Alligator mississippiensis: one gene and its partner. Each later gene encodes a partner of the first gene's protein in a complex. Links are inferred from orthologs where the notes say so. Each region holds a gene or a part of one and is shown in the gene's direction. Other genes may lie near its edges.

Region 1 (7,439 bases):
TGATTTACGTTTAGCATGAACTGGTACAAAATGGGCCTTATTCAAAGCAGCCATTGAAGTCAGGCAGTGGATGTTGCACTGGCTCCCACGTGTGTTGCCAAATCAGTGGCAAGATATGACTCGGAAGGGCACGTGAGATTGGAGTGGACTTGATGGATTGGGTCCTTTATTAAGATACAGGCACAGCCCCTCCGGACTCGTCTCCAGAGCAGCGCGTTACAAGCGTGCACCCTGGCAATCGGAACTGTGACGGTGTAGAAATGGCACCTTAACACTGAACACATTGGCTCCCCATGTGTCTTGCAAGTTGTATTTGCTTTGTTTACTGAAAAAACACATTTTTACTACCGTCAACACTCCAGAGCCAATAAAGCTGTGGTGGAGAGAGTTGCATTCTCCTCCGTCTTGCACATCACTGCCAACAGACCAGCCAGCACAGATCCCTGGAGCCTGCTAGCCTGTTTCCCCATCTCTGGGGCTGACACCACACACAGTCTGAACACAGTTTTCCTCGGGGCACCAGTTATTGATGGCACAAGCCGTTTCCAGCAAACCCCAGACTAGAACAGCTCAACATAAATCCAGCAGCTTGCTTTTCCCTGCCCCAGGGGCTTCCAGCCAGAGGCTCGGTGCTCCTGGTAACTCTTCCCGGTCCCTCCAATAAGCCATCCACTGGGGAGTCCTCCTGCTGCAGGAACCAGCCTATTTCCTCTAGCTTTCCCCTTCTTCAGCTGAGCTCTTTCAGGCTTTACAGGAATCAGGTGCTCATCAGGAAATCACCTGATCCCTTGCAAACTACCAGGCCCCAATCTGTTCTGAACAGGGCTGCGCTCTTGGCCCCTCAGCCCTAAGAGGCAGATATGCCCAGTTACAGTCCCATCCTACGTGTAACTGTACTCACAGGGGTCAAGTTTGAGAGTCTGCAGGTGCTGGATCTACCCACCTTCTGATTCAAAAATCTTAATTATACCAGTGGGCATGAAGCAGGGACAGGCCATAGCTGCTTCCCTTTCAGAAGGGAAGTGTGCAGCATGAGTGGTTAGGAGAAAAGTATTTGTGTTTTGTTGGTTGTTTTTTTTTACTCCTGAACTGAGTTGATTTTAACACTTAAGTTACTGCAAGGGAAGAAGTGTGTGATCAGAAAAACAGGTTTCACCTTGTTCCCAGTTTATTTCAATCATTTGTACTATCTCCATTCTCTGTTCTAAAGTACTTTTGCCTCAGTACATTTTCCTGGACTGAAGCTAGGATGTCTGTAACGAAAAGGACTCATCTTACACTTGCAATAAGATTTGCCCTTGATTTCATTGGGAGAAGGGTCCAAGTCAATATTCAAGCCAGCTTCTCAGAAATCCTTTGCAAAGAAATGCAAATGTATGACATACTCGCAAAGTGTGCAGGAGTCATGAAATGGCTTATCTATGAGTGTGTGACAGGGCAGGCATATGTATACTCGGGAATGGTGGCACAAGCATACATGCGGACGGATCACGGGCACAACTCTGTTTATGGGAACTGTGTAATAAAAAATAATGCATTAAAAATGCACTCGTTACTTAGCCATGGGAGGCATGGGATGACTTAACATCTGTGCCTGTGCACTCATATTTATGTGAGTTTACCTACTAGAGGCAAGGATCTCTTAGGGTGGGATCTTTTACTGGACTAACGATGCAGGTGGGATAAAGTTAGACAAGCTTTTGAATGCAAGACATCCTTCATCCAGTCTCTTCACTGTGTAGCTTTATGAGTTACCTGCAGCATACTGTGCTTGCTAAAATCAGAGGGGGGACAATGCAAAAAACTAAAATGAAACAAACATGGTTGAGCTGGGTCTGGCTGTCTACTGTTGCTGTATCTATATTACTGTTGCATAAAAAAACGATATGCTTGATCTTGGGCCACCATCGGAAGTAAGCTAATTGCATAAAGCACTTTCTCACTGGAGAAAATAACTCTATACTCACCATTCAGCTATTCATCTATCATTTGGCATGCAGATTCAGTAGGGCCAAGTCAGGACACCACAGTACCCCCATGTTTCCTGCAATTTAGGCAGAAAAAGGTCAGATATATGCAGACCTTGAGGGAAGCAACAAACCCCATCCTGCTCAGAGCAGCTTTGGCACGAGAACTTGTTGGACGTGTCCACGAGTCTAACTGCTAACAGGGCAGCAATAGTACCAGTAGTTAAGATCTGAAGTGCCAGATTCTCAACTGCTATGAATAGCAAAATTGAATGCCAGTTTATGCCAGCTGGGGATCTGGCCTGATCTCTTTACAAGACTGATTCTAGAAGTAGCTGTGTCTATGTGCAGTAGCTTGAACTGTATGAATCTTGGCACTTTCCCTTCAAATACGATACAGCAACATTTTATGTCTTGGCTTCTTGTCATGTTCATACCCCTGGTGTTTCACTTTAGGTTTTCCTATAAATGATCAGCACAGCTCAAGTGGGAGCTAACCGTTGTGTGCGAACCACTGCTGAAAGCTGAGATCCTGCATGCCAACCTTCAGTCAGGAGCAATGTTATTTTCTAGGGGTTGGTGGGGGGAGATGCTGGGAAACCATCTAATAAAATTCTGACTGACTGTTACTACTAATGGTGGCGGCAGGTGTAACTGAACCCTGTCTGCCATGTAGATCCAGATTGTTTTGCCTTCTCTTTATTCTCAGTTGTATCTATATTGGTTGTAGAGCATTCTGCCTGTAGTCAGCACATAAGCGAAAGTAAGAGGCCCTGTTGTAGAGCCCTGATCCAGCAACGCCACTTTAGCACACAGTTAACATTAAATCACATGAATAGTCCCTTGTGATTTAAGCAGGGCCCCAAGTTCTTTACTGGAAGGTGCCTATCTTAAAAGAGATGAAGGAGGAATGAAAGAATGAAGGGGACATCCTCAGTGTGGGGTCAAGCCTAAATTTATGAAATAAAAGATAACTGGACACGAAAACAAGACATTTGACAAAAATATGGATTGTTGTCCCATGTATAGAGCATGCCCTTGGAAGAGTCTAAATGTAACGTTTTGAAAAGTGTGCATGTGATTTATGAGCCTAAATCTCAATTTCATAAGTGACTTGGGTACTTAAAGAGTCCCATGAGAGGCAGGCTCCAAGAACTAAACTTCTGAGAACAGGACTTGGGCACTTCTGGAGGTCTTGCACCACATCTTAATAGCGGGCACTGCCGTTCATCTTTATAATATCGCTGCAAGGGCCAGATTTCTCTGGTGCTCCTTGGTGAATAATTATTCTGCAGTGGTGAAATAGCATTCAGGGTCACTTGGTAATGTTACTATCCCTGCATAGCACATTGCCCCTGGCTTGCTCCCTGTTTTCTGTGTTGACCATACCTATAACCTTCCTTTGCTCCCCTTATAGAAAAGTCCTATGGCATTTAATAGGAAATCTTAACCTTTCCATCAGCTTTTTCTTAATAACCACAGAGAATTTAATAAAGCATCATAACCCCCTCTATAGAACTTGATAGCAGCTTGTCATTTAAAAAAAGGCTATAGACAAAGTCTTCACCCCCTCATCAGCTCTGAAGACTTCAAGAGGATTTTTCCTTGGCTCCATCCACCAGTACATTCAAGAGGACTCCTCTCTCCCAGACTTTCTTTTCCTATTTATGTGTTTACAAAAACCAGTCTGTCCTCCAGAGTGGGGGTGGAGGGAGGGGGGGGGGGGCAGCTATGTCTTCCACATTGTTTCAAGGTTTGCCAGTTGAAAAAAGAAGGGAAGGTAGGAAACAAACATTTAGGGTTTGTTTTTAACTTCCACCGCCTCCTGAACAGCTGTTAGGATGTCCTTTTATTACTATTCATTGTTGCTGTTGTTATTAGTTGTTGTTGGTGTGGTTACTTCTCGGAGTGGCTGTGTCCTTGGGATGCAGTTAGAGGAGCAACCCAGCGCACCACGTCCTGCCCCGGGTCTGTGCGTGCACACGGGGAGCGGAGCAGGGCCAGGGCCAGGGCCAGGGCAGGAGCGGGAGCAGAGCTGTGCCCGGGTGCGCAGAAGGCAGCGGCTTCCCCCGCAGCCAGCAGAGGGCTCGCTCCGCCCGGTGCATGGCAGGAGCCGGGCCGGCGGGGGAGGCGGTGCAGCCCGGTCCCCGCCGGGCTCCCGGCCAGCAGCAGCGCTCAGTAGCAATTGCATCACGGGCCCCCAGCAGCCAGGTAGCGCTGAACTGGGGAAGCCGATCAATAAGTCCATAAATAAATGTGGGGGGGCAGAAGGGGGGGGGAGCCCTCCGCCTTGCCCAGCTGCAGCCAGCCCTGCCTGGGGGTGGCGGCGCTGCACCCGGGGGGCCTCCCGGAGAGACGCGCATCCCCCGCGGGCTGCGGGGGTGGCGGGGCGGGTGCGTGCGTGTGCATGTGCGTGTGTGTGCATGTGCGTGTGTGTGGTTTTTTGGGTTTTTTTTTTTTTTGCATGGAAGGGGGGGTGAGCAGAGAGTCGGTGGTTTCCATGGTGATGGAGCTGAAAGTGCAGGAAATTTAAAGGCTTTGGATCCTTGCAAAGCAGACAAACTGGTGCCAACGTGCGCGGCCGCCGTGCAGAGCGGCGGAGAGGAGCCTGCGAGAGGAGCCCGGCCGGGAAGCATTTGCAAAAAAGGAAAGCGCTGGGGTGGTGGTGGAGGTGGGGGGGGGGAAGAAGAAGAAGAAGAAACCCCCCTCCTCCCCCCAAAAGACCCCCCCCTACACACACACCCCTCCAGCTGCCGCCGCCTCGTGCTGCAGCAGGCGCGGGACGGAGCCCGCTCGCGGGCAGCGCCGGAGGAGAGGCTGCGAGCGCGGGGCGGGGGGGGAGCCTTGTTGGGGGGCCGGGGGCGCCCCGTCGGGACGGGCGGCTCGGCTCTCCCCCCCCCGGCCGCGGTGGCGGATGCAGTTGGCTGCCCCCGAGGATGGAGCACAACCAGTGCCTGGCCACCATCTACGCCTTGGCGGTGCTGCTGGGGCTCCGCATGGGGCAGGGCGCCTGCCAGCACTACCTGCACATCCGCCCGGCGCCCAGCGACAACCTGCCCCTGGTGGACCTCATCGAGCACCCGGACCCTATCTTTGACCCCAAGGAGAAGGATCTTAACGAGACCTTGCTCAGGAGCCTCCTGGGCGGGCACTTCGACGCCAACTTCATGGCCACCGCCGTGCCCGAGGAGCGGCTCGGGGGGGACGACCTGGCCGAGCTGGACTTGCTGCTCCGGCAGAGACCCTCGGGGGCGATGCCCAGCGACATCAAAGGGCTGGAGTTTGCCGACGGGCTGCAGCCGGGCAAGAAGCACCGGCTGAGCAAGAAGCTGCGCAGGAAGCTGCAGCTGTGGCTCTGGTCGCAGACCTTCTGCCCCGTGCTCTACACCTGGAACGACCTGGGCAGCCGCTTCTGGCCCCGCTTCGTCAAGGTGGGCAGCTGCTACAGCAAGCGGTCGTGCTCCGTGCCCGAGGGCATGCTGTGCAAGCCGGCCAAGTCCGTGCATTTGACCATCCTGCGCTGGCGGTGCCAGCGGCGGGGCGGGCAGCGCTGCGCCTGGATCCCCATCCAGTACCCCATCATCTCGGAGTGCAAGTGCTCCTGCTAGGGACACGTGTGGACCCGGCCCGCTTTCTGCCCCGCGTTGTCATGCACTGTACCGTGTAGGAGAATGTATATGTGTGTGTGTGTGTGTATATATGGCAGCCTTCTCGTTGACTATTAAAAAAGGTCAGTATTATCCCGGCAAGTCCTCAGCGTCCGCTGTATATTTGTGAGCTCCGGGTCCTGGCTCGGGGCTCTCTTTCTCCCGGGTCTTCATGCTCCCCAGACGGATGACTTTTTTTTTTTTAATTATTATCATTATTATTTTTAATTTAATAAAAGGTGTTTGGAGAGGGGGGAGGGATTTTTTTGATAAAGGAAAAGCCCAGGCTGAGAAGAGAAGTTTTTGAAGCGATGTGCCGCTGCACGTGTGCGCGCGCGGGGGAGGTGGGGGGGGTTGTTTCTGATGGACTTCAGAGTTTAAACACACACACACACAGAAGAGGACACACACACACACACACATACACAGAGAAGAGGATGAAGGCTTTGATGGCTGGCAAGGAAGAGTGTCTATTTATTCTTGCTATACCCCCGTAGTCCAAGGGCAGCGCGGGATTAAAAATCGACCACTAAAATAATCCGAGCTGGGCTGCTTGTGTGTGCTTTGTGGCTGGGTTGTTTGCTCCCCGCCCGGCGCGTGTCGCCGCTGGACATGTCACCTCCACGGGCCACGCGTGTCTCGCACCGGCCCGGCGCCGTCGCGGGTGGGCTGCCCCTCGGGGCTCCGCCGTGCCCGGGCTGGGAGGCGGCAGGAGGCGCGCACGTGCTCCCTGCCCCTGCCCCCGAGCCGCCTCCACGTGCTGCAGCCGGGGCCTGATTGACCTTGCAATCAAAAGCCCCTTCTTCAAGTTTCCCCTTCCCAGGCACTGGGTGCCTGCTCCTGTCCCGGCTCCCGCCCTGCCCAGCGCCTCCGCCGCCGCGCTGCTTCTCATCCCCCCCCAAAAAAGCAAGCCCCAGAGATCTGGGGACATTTGGGGTATTCATTAACCTCGCGAAGAGGAACAGCGGCATTATTACTCACCTCGGAGGCGCCCTGCCCCCGACACTATCTGAGGGTTCATTGTAAAAGGATTAAAAGTTAAAGACCTTCATCTTATGATTCTTGCATTTAATCTTCGTGGCGCCTGAAAGACATGCTGAATGGATGATCACATTTAAAATATTCCCAATGTCGGCTACCTTCGGACTCCGGGGCAGGGCAAACACACGTAATTTATTTCTAGAAGAAAGGGGATATTGAGATGTTTTAAAGTTTTCTGAACCACCGGCCCCATGTCTATTTGTTAGGTTCTGACAAATACCCAAATAACATTGAAATCAGCCATTCATCACAGATGAATTTATGCAAAACCTTCTGCGCCCGGGGCCAATATTTTTTTAGACACCGTTTCACTTGCAAAAAAAAAAAAAAAGCCAAAAGCAAGAGTTTTTCATGACGGGTAAACACGAGAATTATGTGAACAGAAACTATTTCATGCTGGGATGGCAGCCAGGGACTTGGGAATGTCAACAAAAGTTCCCCGAAGGTTGAACATGTCACTGGATTACAATAAGACGTCCTTTCCCCTGTTAGCAAACCTCACTGAAGGACTATTCCCACTAGCTACCTTCTCTTCTCACCCAGTCATGCAGAGGTCTGTAATTGCTGCAGTTACTGCTGGGACTTCATGCAGACACTGCTTCTGACTCTTGGTTAAAGGTTAAAATGACTCTACCTGTGTGTGCTACATGCATGTTATTTTTAACCTGACTGTATTCCTGCAATCAGTGAACAGATATAGCATATAGTATATATTCCTTCTTATTAATAGCTCCCTATTATTAATAAACTCTTGGGGGTGTTATATCCAAGAAAGGCAAAAAGA
Region 2 (6,998 bases), on another chromosome or scaffold:
TAAGTTAAGCATGAAACCATTTGTGTAACCTGAACATACATTTACTTCATTTAGGTTAATCTTGCATACTGATGACCTGAATGAGCCACTGGTATGCATCTGGCAATTTGGATGCATGACCATGACAACAATGCATACAAATTAGGCACATGCAATTGCACACAAATTGTGTGTACTTTATTTGTTTTAGAAGTGGGCCCTTTATTTCTAAACTAGTCACTTCCATCCAGCAACAGTGCATGTATTTCTACATAAACACAAATAATAGCTAATATACAAATCATACACATGCAAAATACTAAGATACCCAAAAGATGAAAATAGAAGCACTCAGTTATTTTTTTAAAGAAATCATCTGAAACAGCCACAGCCAACATCCAGGTATTGCTTCATCATCAGCACTCAACTCTCCTTCTCTGACAGGGAGCAGGAGGAGGAGGAGGAGGAGGAGCAGCGGATGGCAGTTAAGAGGAAAAACTGGTTTCTTAATTGACCTGGGAGAGAAGAGAAAGAGGGTGATGACATGGGGTTGCCAATATTTTCAGCAATTTGTCTACAGTACTTGGGAGCTGACCCTGAGAGCACCAATAAATGAGGTCAAGCAGTATGCAAAATATGATGGAAGAAACATTAGAATCAGAAATTATGGCATAGACAATATCCTCTAATTGCAGCATGTATGTGTAAAATCCATGTTCGCAGCTAAATGTTGACCCCATCTCACTCCATCATGCTATATTGCACACAGTGGGACATACTGGGACATACTCTTGGTTGCACCCAACAGCCTCACTGAAGTCAACATGTAATTGAGAAATCAATTCTCTAAGACAGTGGTTTTCAACCTGTGTTCTGCGGACCCCTGGGGGTCTGCAGACTACATCTAAGGGGTCCAGGAAAGATGACTATGATCAATCAGAAATGTGTGAATACCCACACTTACCATACCGCACTGCCATTAAAATTTTTTTAGGGATCTGAAAATGAAAAAAGGTTGAAAACTACTGCTCTATGAGTGGTTTTTCAAGAGTGGTTTTTTGCTGTTCTCAACCCTCACTCACAAAGAATGCCTCTGGCACCTGGTATATAACAGTGGCAAACTCACTCTTAGGCATATCTGTCATGTATCTATTTCAGCAGATTGTATTTAGCAGTCTGTCTCAACAATCACAAGCCAGACATTTTTGTAGAACAGCATGTGGAGAAATTACCTGCAGCAGCTTCAAAGAAAAAGTTTGGTTCTCTGATACTTATAATAATCCCCTTTCATAAAAAGTTTATTGCTTATGCCAGATCCCACAATATCCTCTCTCTACTTGATTCTGAGCCTGTCAAACCAGGTATGTTGGTCCACAGTTTAGGCCAGGAAGTAAAGAATAAAGCCATACAAAATAGCAATGAAAAAGATTATTAAAAGATTGGATCCATTTCCATGCAAGTGTGAGAGACGGCCCTGTCACTCACTACACCTGGGGAAAGGACAATTATTAAGCTGATACACAATACACTGCTTGATCTTAACCCCCACAAGGCAACTTAACCAACTGAAGCTAGGGGGAAGTTAAGTAGGGAATGAAGAATCATAACTAGAACCAGAAGAACCTGCCAAACCAAGAAGTCTCAAAATTTGTCTCCCATAAAAAATGACACAATCAATCCCAGAAATCAGCTACCTGAAGATTTTTCCAGAGCCCAAATCTTCCAGTTCAGAAGAACTGAGTATCTTCCCTTTCCCCCAAACAAGCAGTGCTTTTTAAGGGGATGTTGTTAACTTGAAAATTGCCCTATATATGGTTTCTAGAAATATACCTGCTCTTAAGGCTCCTTGTCCATTTCTATAATCTTCATCTATTGTATAGTATTTTAATTTCAATATGTTTTTCTCCCTGGTTTGTTGGGTGAAAGGCCTGCACATAAGGCAACAGCAGGAGGAACGGACAGAGGGGAGAGACTAGGCCCAATCACTGTCAAATGCACCAAGGAAACAAAACACCCTTTTGTGTTGAAATCCATGCCAGTTATATGTTTTCAAACACGAAGGCCGCAATTCTTAGAAATGTTTTGGCATTACCACTTAGGAACAAATCCAGGGTTTGTACAAATGATGATACACAAAATAAGCTGGTATTTTATTATTGTATGCAGTTGCAATCACAGCTAATTCATGTGAAGGGACTCTAGAAGGCCCCTTCTGGATATCATGGTGGTATATCTGTATTACCACTATCTTAGACACTTCTATGGATAGCATCACCATAGTACCTGGGTGACTCACAATACTTAAATATAGGTAGCCTTACCAGTCTATGAGCCAGGGAAATACTAGTATTCCCATTTTAGGACAGAGATGGGAAGCAGAGAAAGGCTAAATGATAGGCTAATGTCACATAAGGGATTGGTGGCAGAGCTGGGAATTGAACAAGGCTCTTCCAACACACACACCTGAAGCCTTAAATCATGGCTTCTGTTTGTATTGGGAGCCAGCAAGAGATGACGGGGCAAACCACCTGTCACCTCCAGTCCTTCTCCTGCCCCCCAGGCAGGCTGGCAGTGCTTCTCTAGAGCTATAAAAGATTCTTGCCACCCCTTTGAAAAGCAGCAGAAGAATGAGGAAGGGCCTGGCAGCTAGGCTCCTAACGGACTCTCCCCCTTTCTCAATGTGGTCTAAAAATGGACCACTCCAGTTCTGTCTCTCACTTTCTCCTCTGTTAAAAAGCAAAGAGTGCCTCCTTCACCCAGCTCTTATAACAAGCTACTCACTGTTTGCACAACACTTTTAGGATACACTGGTCTGTATAAATGCGGAGTGTTCTTTTATTGTAGCCAGCCTGAGCCTTTATTGGGAAGGGCAGCATATAAATTGGCATTGTATAAACTGAATAAATAAATAAAAATGAATAACTATTCATTTCTGGGTGCAGAAGGCAGGTGGGACCAGGTGTTCAGACTTCTGGGCATGGCAAGGCTCATCAGGAAGCATCAAAGACTACGAGCATGTCAAGGCAGTGGAAACAACCTCTTTTCCCTCCTCTCCTTTCACTCTTCCCGCCAGGGCTGAATCAAAAAATCAACATATAGTCTGAATTATTTCCGGTCCTCTCCTCTCAAGAGATTACTGCTGAATGCTGTCATTTATTTCTCCTTTGTGTTATGGTAGAGCTGGCAGGGCTCAGCCAGGATTGGGCTCTATTCTTCCAGACATTGTAGGGACACTTAGTAAGAGACAGCCCCTGCTCCAAAGGGCTGATAACCCCATCCTGGACAAGATGCAACAAGTGAGTGTAGCTAACAATGGAAGGAAAAGAGAGGGGAGGAGATGAGAGGGAGACAGACTGTGACAAACACTAGCTGTGCGCACAAGCTGATGGGTCCGGGGCCATGTCACTGGTATCCTGTATTGTTTTAAACTTTCACCTATTAACCCATAACCTCCTGGCCTTCTTTAACACTTCTCCACTCACATCCCCCCCGACCGCCTGTGGGTACAAGCGACCTTGGGCTACCTTTCCTACTGGTATCATTACATTTTAAATGCATGCCTGTATTGGTCTTTTGCCTTCTGGGCAGGCTCTGCCCCACTGCACTGCTTAGTTTATTTTGTTTTATATATGCATACCCCCCCTCCCCTCCACTAAACAGCCCTCCCCCAGCACTGCCTTCCCCTTAATCATGTTTACATTAATTTAACTACTTGGGAATGGCTCACCCTTTCTTCTAAGCCAGAAGCCTCCATAAACATCCTGAAAAGCAACCTGATCAGATGTTCCTCCTCTAGGCAGTAACACGGATTTTCTTCTCTAAGCAGTTTGGAGAGAGAGAGCGAGCAGAGAGCAAGCGAGGGAGGGTGTTGAGTTGTGCTGCCTGCTCCTCCCACCAGATACAACCTCCTGCTGCCTGTCTGTAAAGCAGCATTTCAAACACTTGTGAGAAGTGAAGAGGGAGAGAGAGAGAGAGAGAGAAAGAAATCAGACCCTAAAGAAAGAGGGGAAAGGGAGTGGAAAGCACCACTCAGGAGTGATCCTTGCTATTTATCTCATGGATTTTACAAACTAAACCACCTCCCCCCCCCAGAGGCAAACTTTTATCATGAGTTTGCTGAAGCCTGAGCTGCAGGGCTGCCCTCTAGCCAAGTGATCAGAGCTTTGCGGGGCAGGCACTTTCCCCCTCTCCAGCTGTCTTTCATGGTAAAGTATTTATTCCTGCTCAGCAGCCCCGTGGGTCTCTTCATCTCCCCTCCGTGCAGGAGAGATGCGCGCCGCGTGGCCCGGGCAGCCTGCCTCCCGGCTGCTGGTCCTCTCGTGCTTGTGGCTGCGCTGCATCCTGGCGGACTTCACCTTGGACAATGAGGTGCACTCCAGCTTCATCCACCGGCGGCTGCGGAGCCAGGAGCGCCGGGAGATGCAGCGGGAGATCCTCTCCATCCTGGGCTTGCCGCACCGGCCCCGGCCCCATCTGCACGGCAAGCAGAACTCAGCCCCCATGTTCATGCTGGATCTCTACAATGCCATGTCGGTGGAGGAGGCGGCCGGGGCGGCGGGGGAGGAGGGAGAGGGCTTCTCCTACCCTTACAAGCCCATCTTCAGCACCCAGGGCCCCCCCCTGGCCAGCCTGCAGGACAGCAACTTCCTCACCGAGGCAGACATGGTCATGAGCTTCGTGAACCTGGGTGAGTGTCCGAGCCCAGCCCGGGGCAGCCTGCACAGGTCTGGGACAGCCTGGGGCAAAGGATCTGAGTTTGGGGCAAGTGTCTGGAGTGGGATGGGGTGGAAGGAAGCTGGTTTCTCTGCTGGCAAAAGCAAAGAGATGGACCCAATGGCACCACAGCCTCTGGTGGGGACAGGAGAGAATAGGCTGTGGTGGGGCAGGTAGCAACAAGGGGCGCATATGGCCCTGCTGGCAGGTGGCTTTGGGCAGGGCAGGGGAAGTAAGTGGCTCTAGATCCAGCCTTTGTTGCAGTGTGAATTTAAGTGTCAGGAGGTTTGGAAATCAGCTGGAAAGGGCTCACTCAGAACCTATGTCCTATGAGTAGGACTTTTACTGTGCCCCATCAGATCTCATCTGGCCTGCTGCCATGCTCCCTCCTTCTTCTTCCCTCTTGCTCCTCCACACGGAATGAGTTACCTTGCAGAATCCACGAGGGAGTGGACCTGTACAGGACCTGTTAGTGGCTCTGTCTGGCTTCTTGCACCACCAAGAAAGACGTGAAGCCAACAAAAGACCCTGGATTGCAACACAGTTCAAAGCCCTGAGCTTGGAATCATGTGGATGATCACAATGCCACCAGAGCCGCTTAAGTGGACAGACCCTAGTGGAGTGGCCAAGGCAGCCTTAACTAGATTGAGAGGGCCAGGCTGCTGGAGTCTGTTTTCTTAATGGCTTGAGAAGGATTCCAGGGTAAATCCTTATTTACTCCTGCAGCTCTTTCTAGTGACCCCAGTTGAGGCAAGCTAACGTGCTTCCTTTCACACACACATGTGGATGGGTTTATGCAAATGACATGAAAGTTGCCACGCTTTGTATGCAGCTCACTGAGCTGCTTTAATTGGATGCCGCAGTTTGCTGATATCCTCCTGATCTCTATTCGTTGGCTATAGATTGCACACCCTTTGGGACTTACTCAGCCGGATTTGAGTAAAATGCTGTCAGGACAAGCATTCTATTTTAAATATATAATTATAGGTCCCAGTTCACTGTATCTAGTTTTAGCCCTCATCACGTGCGGCTCTGAAACCACCAGATGTACAGATTGGGTGCCTGCAAATTCAAGTCAAAATCTGAATGATAATTCCAGAGCAGGGTTGACTCAAACTTTGCCTAAATGAGGAGCCGTTTGCAAGGAGTGAGAAGGATGCACCTGAGATGCATGAAATGGTACAGATGGCAGATGCCCTCATCTTAAATCCTGTAATAAATCTGCCATCACCTAGAACTTCCTGGTTATCACTTGGAGCTTCATGGTGGCAACAGGCATTGTGCAATAGTTGTCCTTCCCCTAGCACTATGGGCTAAAGCAGAAGTATCAGTAGCTGTATAGGCTTTATGACACACACATATGTGAATAGCTGTGATCATATACAGTAGCCAACCTCAGTCCAATCCTGAAGTGATACTTGGAGATGGAGCACTGCATGCTGAGATCTCAAGTTTCAGTGGAATTGCATCTCCATATTAAATACCATAAGCCTCACTGGTAGGACTCTACAATTGGCCCAAAGGCTGTAGTCTTTTCAGACTGCTAATATAGTCCATTTGGAAGTATAATGCTTGTCTAATAGTTTTTCAGTATGTAAGCCAATTAGCATTGATACATTTTAAAATCAATATTTGTGCAGCCAGGAGTACCACTGGTGGGCAAATATTTGACTTTAGAGATAAGAGAAATGGTGTTAATATTGTGCTGTGCTGTACCTCAGTGTACATATAATGTATGGCCAGAGTGCGGGGACATACAGAAAACAAAGGAAATAAACAAAGTTGGCACTTTTATTTTCTACTGTAAAAGTAGATTCTTTTTTTGAAAGGGCTGAATATTTAATAGAGTCAACTCCAGATAGTGAGATTTACCTCCAGGTGAACAATTATATCCTTTGGTTTTTGTGAAGTTAGTTTCGAGGTAGATCTCATAAATGCAGCTCTGGGGACCCAGTTCCAAGCTCAATAATGTGGGGAAAAGCCATCTTTGAAGGCCCCTGGAGTTTTATGTAAAAGACATTATGGTTTAGCCTCTAAAGTAACTTATTTTGCACAAACATGTTAGCTCAGTGTAATCATAGTGAAATTAGTCAATACATTTGTAATTGAGATTTGTTTTCTTGGATGCATCTATCCCATGAATCTAAAAGAACATATCAATAAAGATTATTATATGTAAATTACACAGGTTACAGTATAACATTAAAATTATGAACTGCATAAAAATGTCGGCTTTTGTAATCAGTTTAAAGAGTATGAAAATGTTCTTGCCAAAGTATTTCATTATTATTTAGTTTAATTTCTGC

What was found. Proteins that work in one complex are often made in the same cells at the same time.
Region 2: the proteins of NOG (region 1) and BMP7 are in contact, whole or in part, in a crystal structure (PDB 1M4U), measured with the Homo sapiens proteins. The link is inferred for Alligator mississippiensis from reciprocal best matches to the Homo sapiens genes NOG and BMP7. Residues at the interface, in NP_005441.1 of Homo sapiens: His29, Tyr30, Leu31, His32, Ile33, Arg34, Pro35, Ala36; in NP_001710.1 of Homo sapiens: Phe365, Pro366, Leu367, Asn368, Ser369, Asn375, Ile378, Val379.

The regions. Positions count from the first base shown.
Region 1 is NC_081831.1:7,825,081-7,832,519, reverse strand, and holds the start of NOG (noggin), read left to right. Parts: upstream 1-4,391; 5' UTR 4,392-4,903; coding exon 4,904-5,575; 3' UTR 5,576-7,439. UniProt on the Homo sapiens protein: Inhibitor of bone morphogenetic proteins (BMP) signaling which is required for growth and patterning of the neural tube and somite. Essential for cartilage morphogenesis and joint formation.
Region 2 is NC_081832.1:9,428,566-9,435,563, forward strand, and holds the start of BMP7 (bone morphogenetic protein 7), read left to right. Parts: upstream 1-3,942; 5' UTR 3,943-4,248; coding exon 4,249-4,666; intron 4,667-6,998. UniProt on the Homo sapiens protein: Growth factor of the TGF-beta superfamily that plays important role in various biological processes, including embryogenesis, hematopoiesis, neurogenesis and skeletal morphogenesis.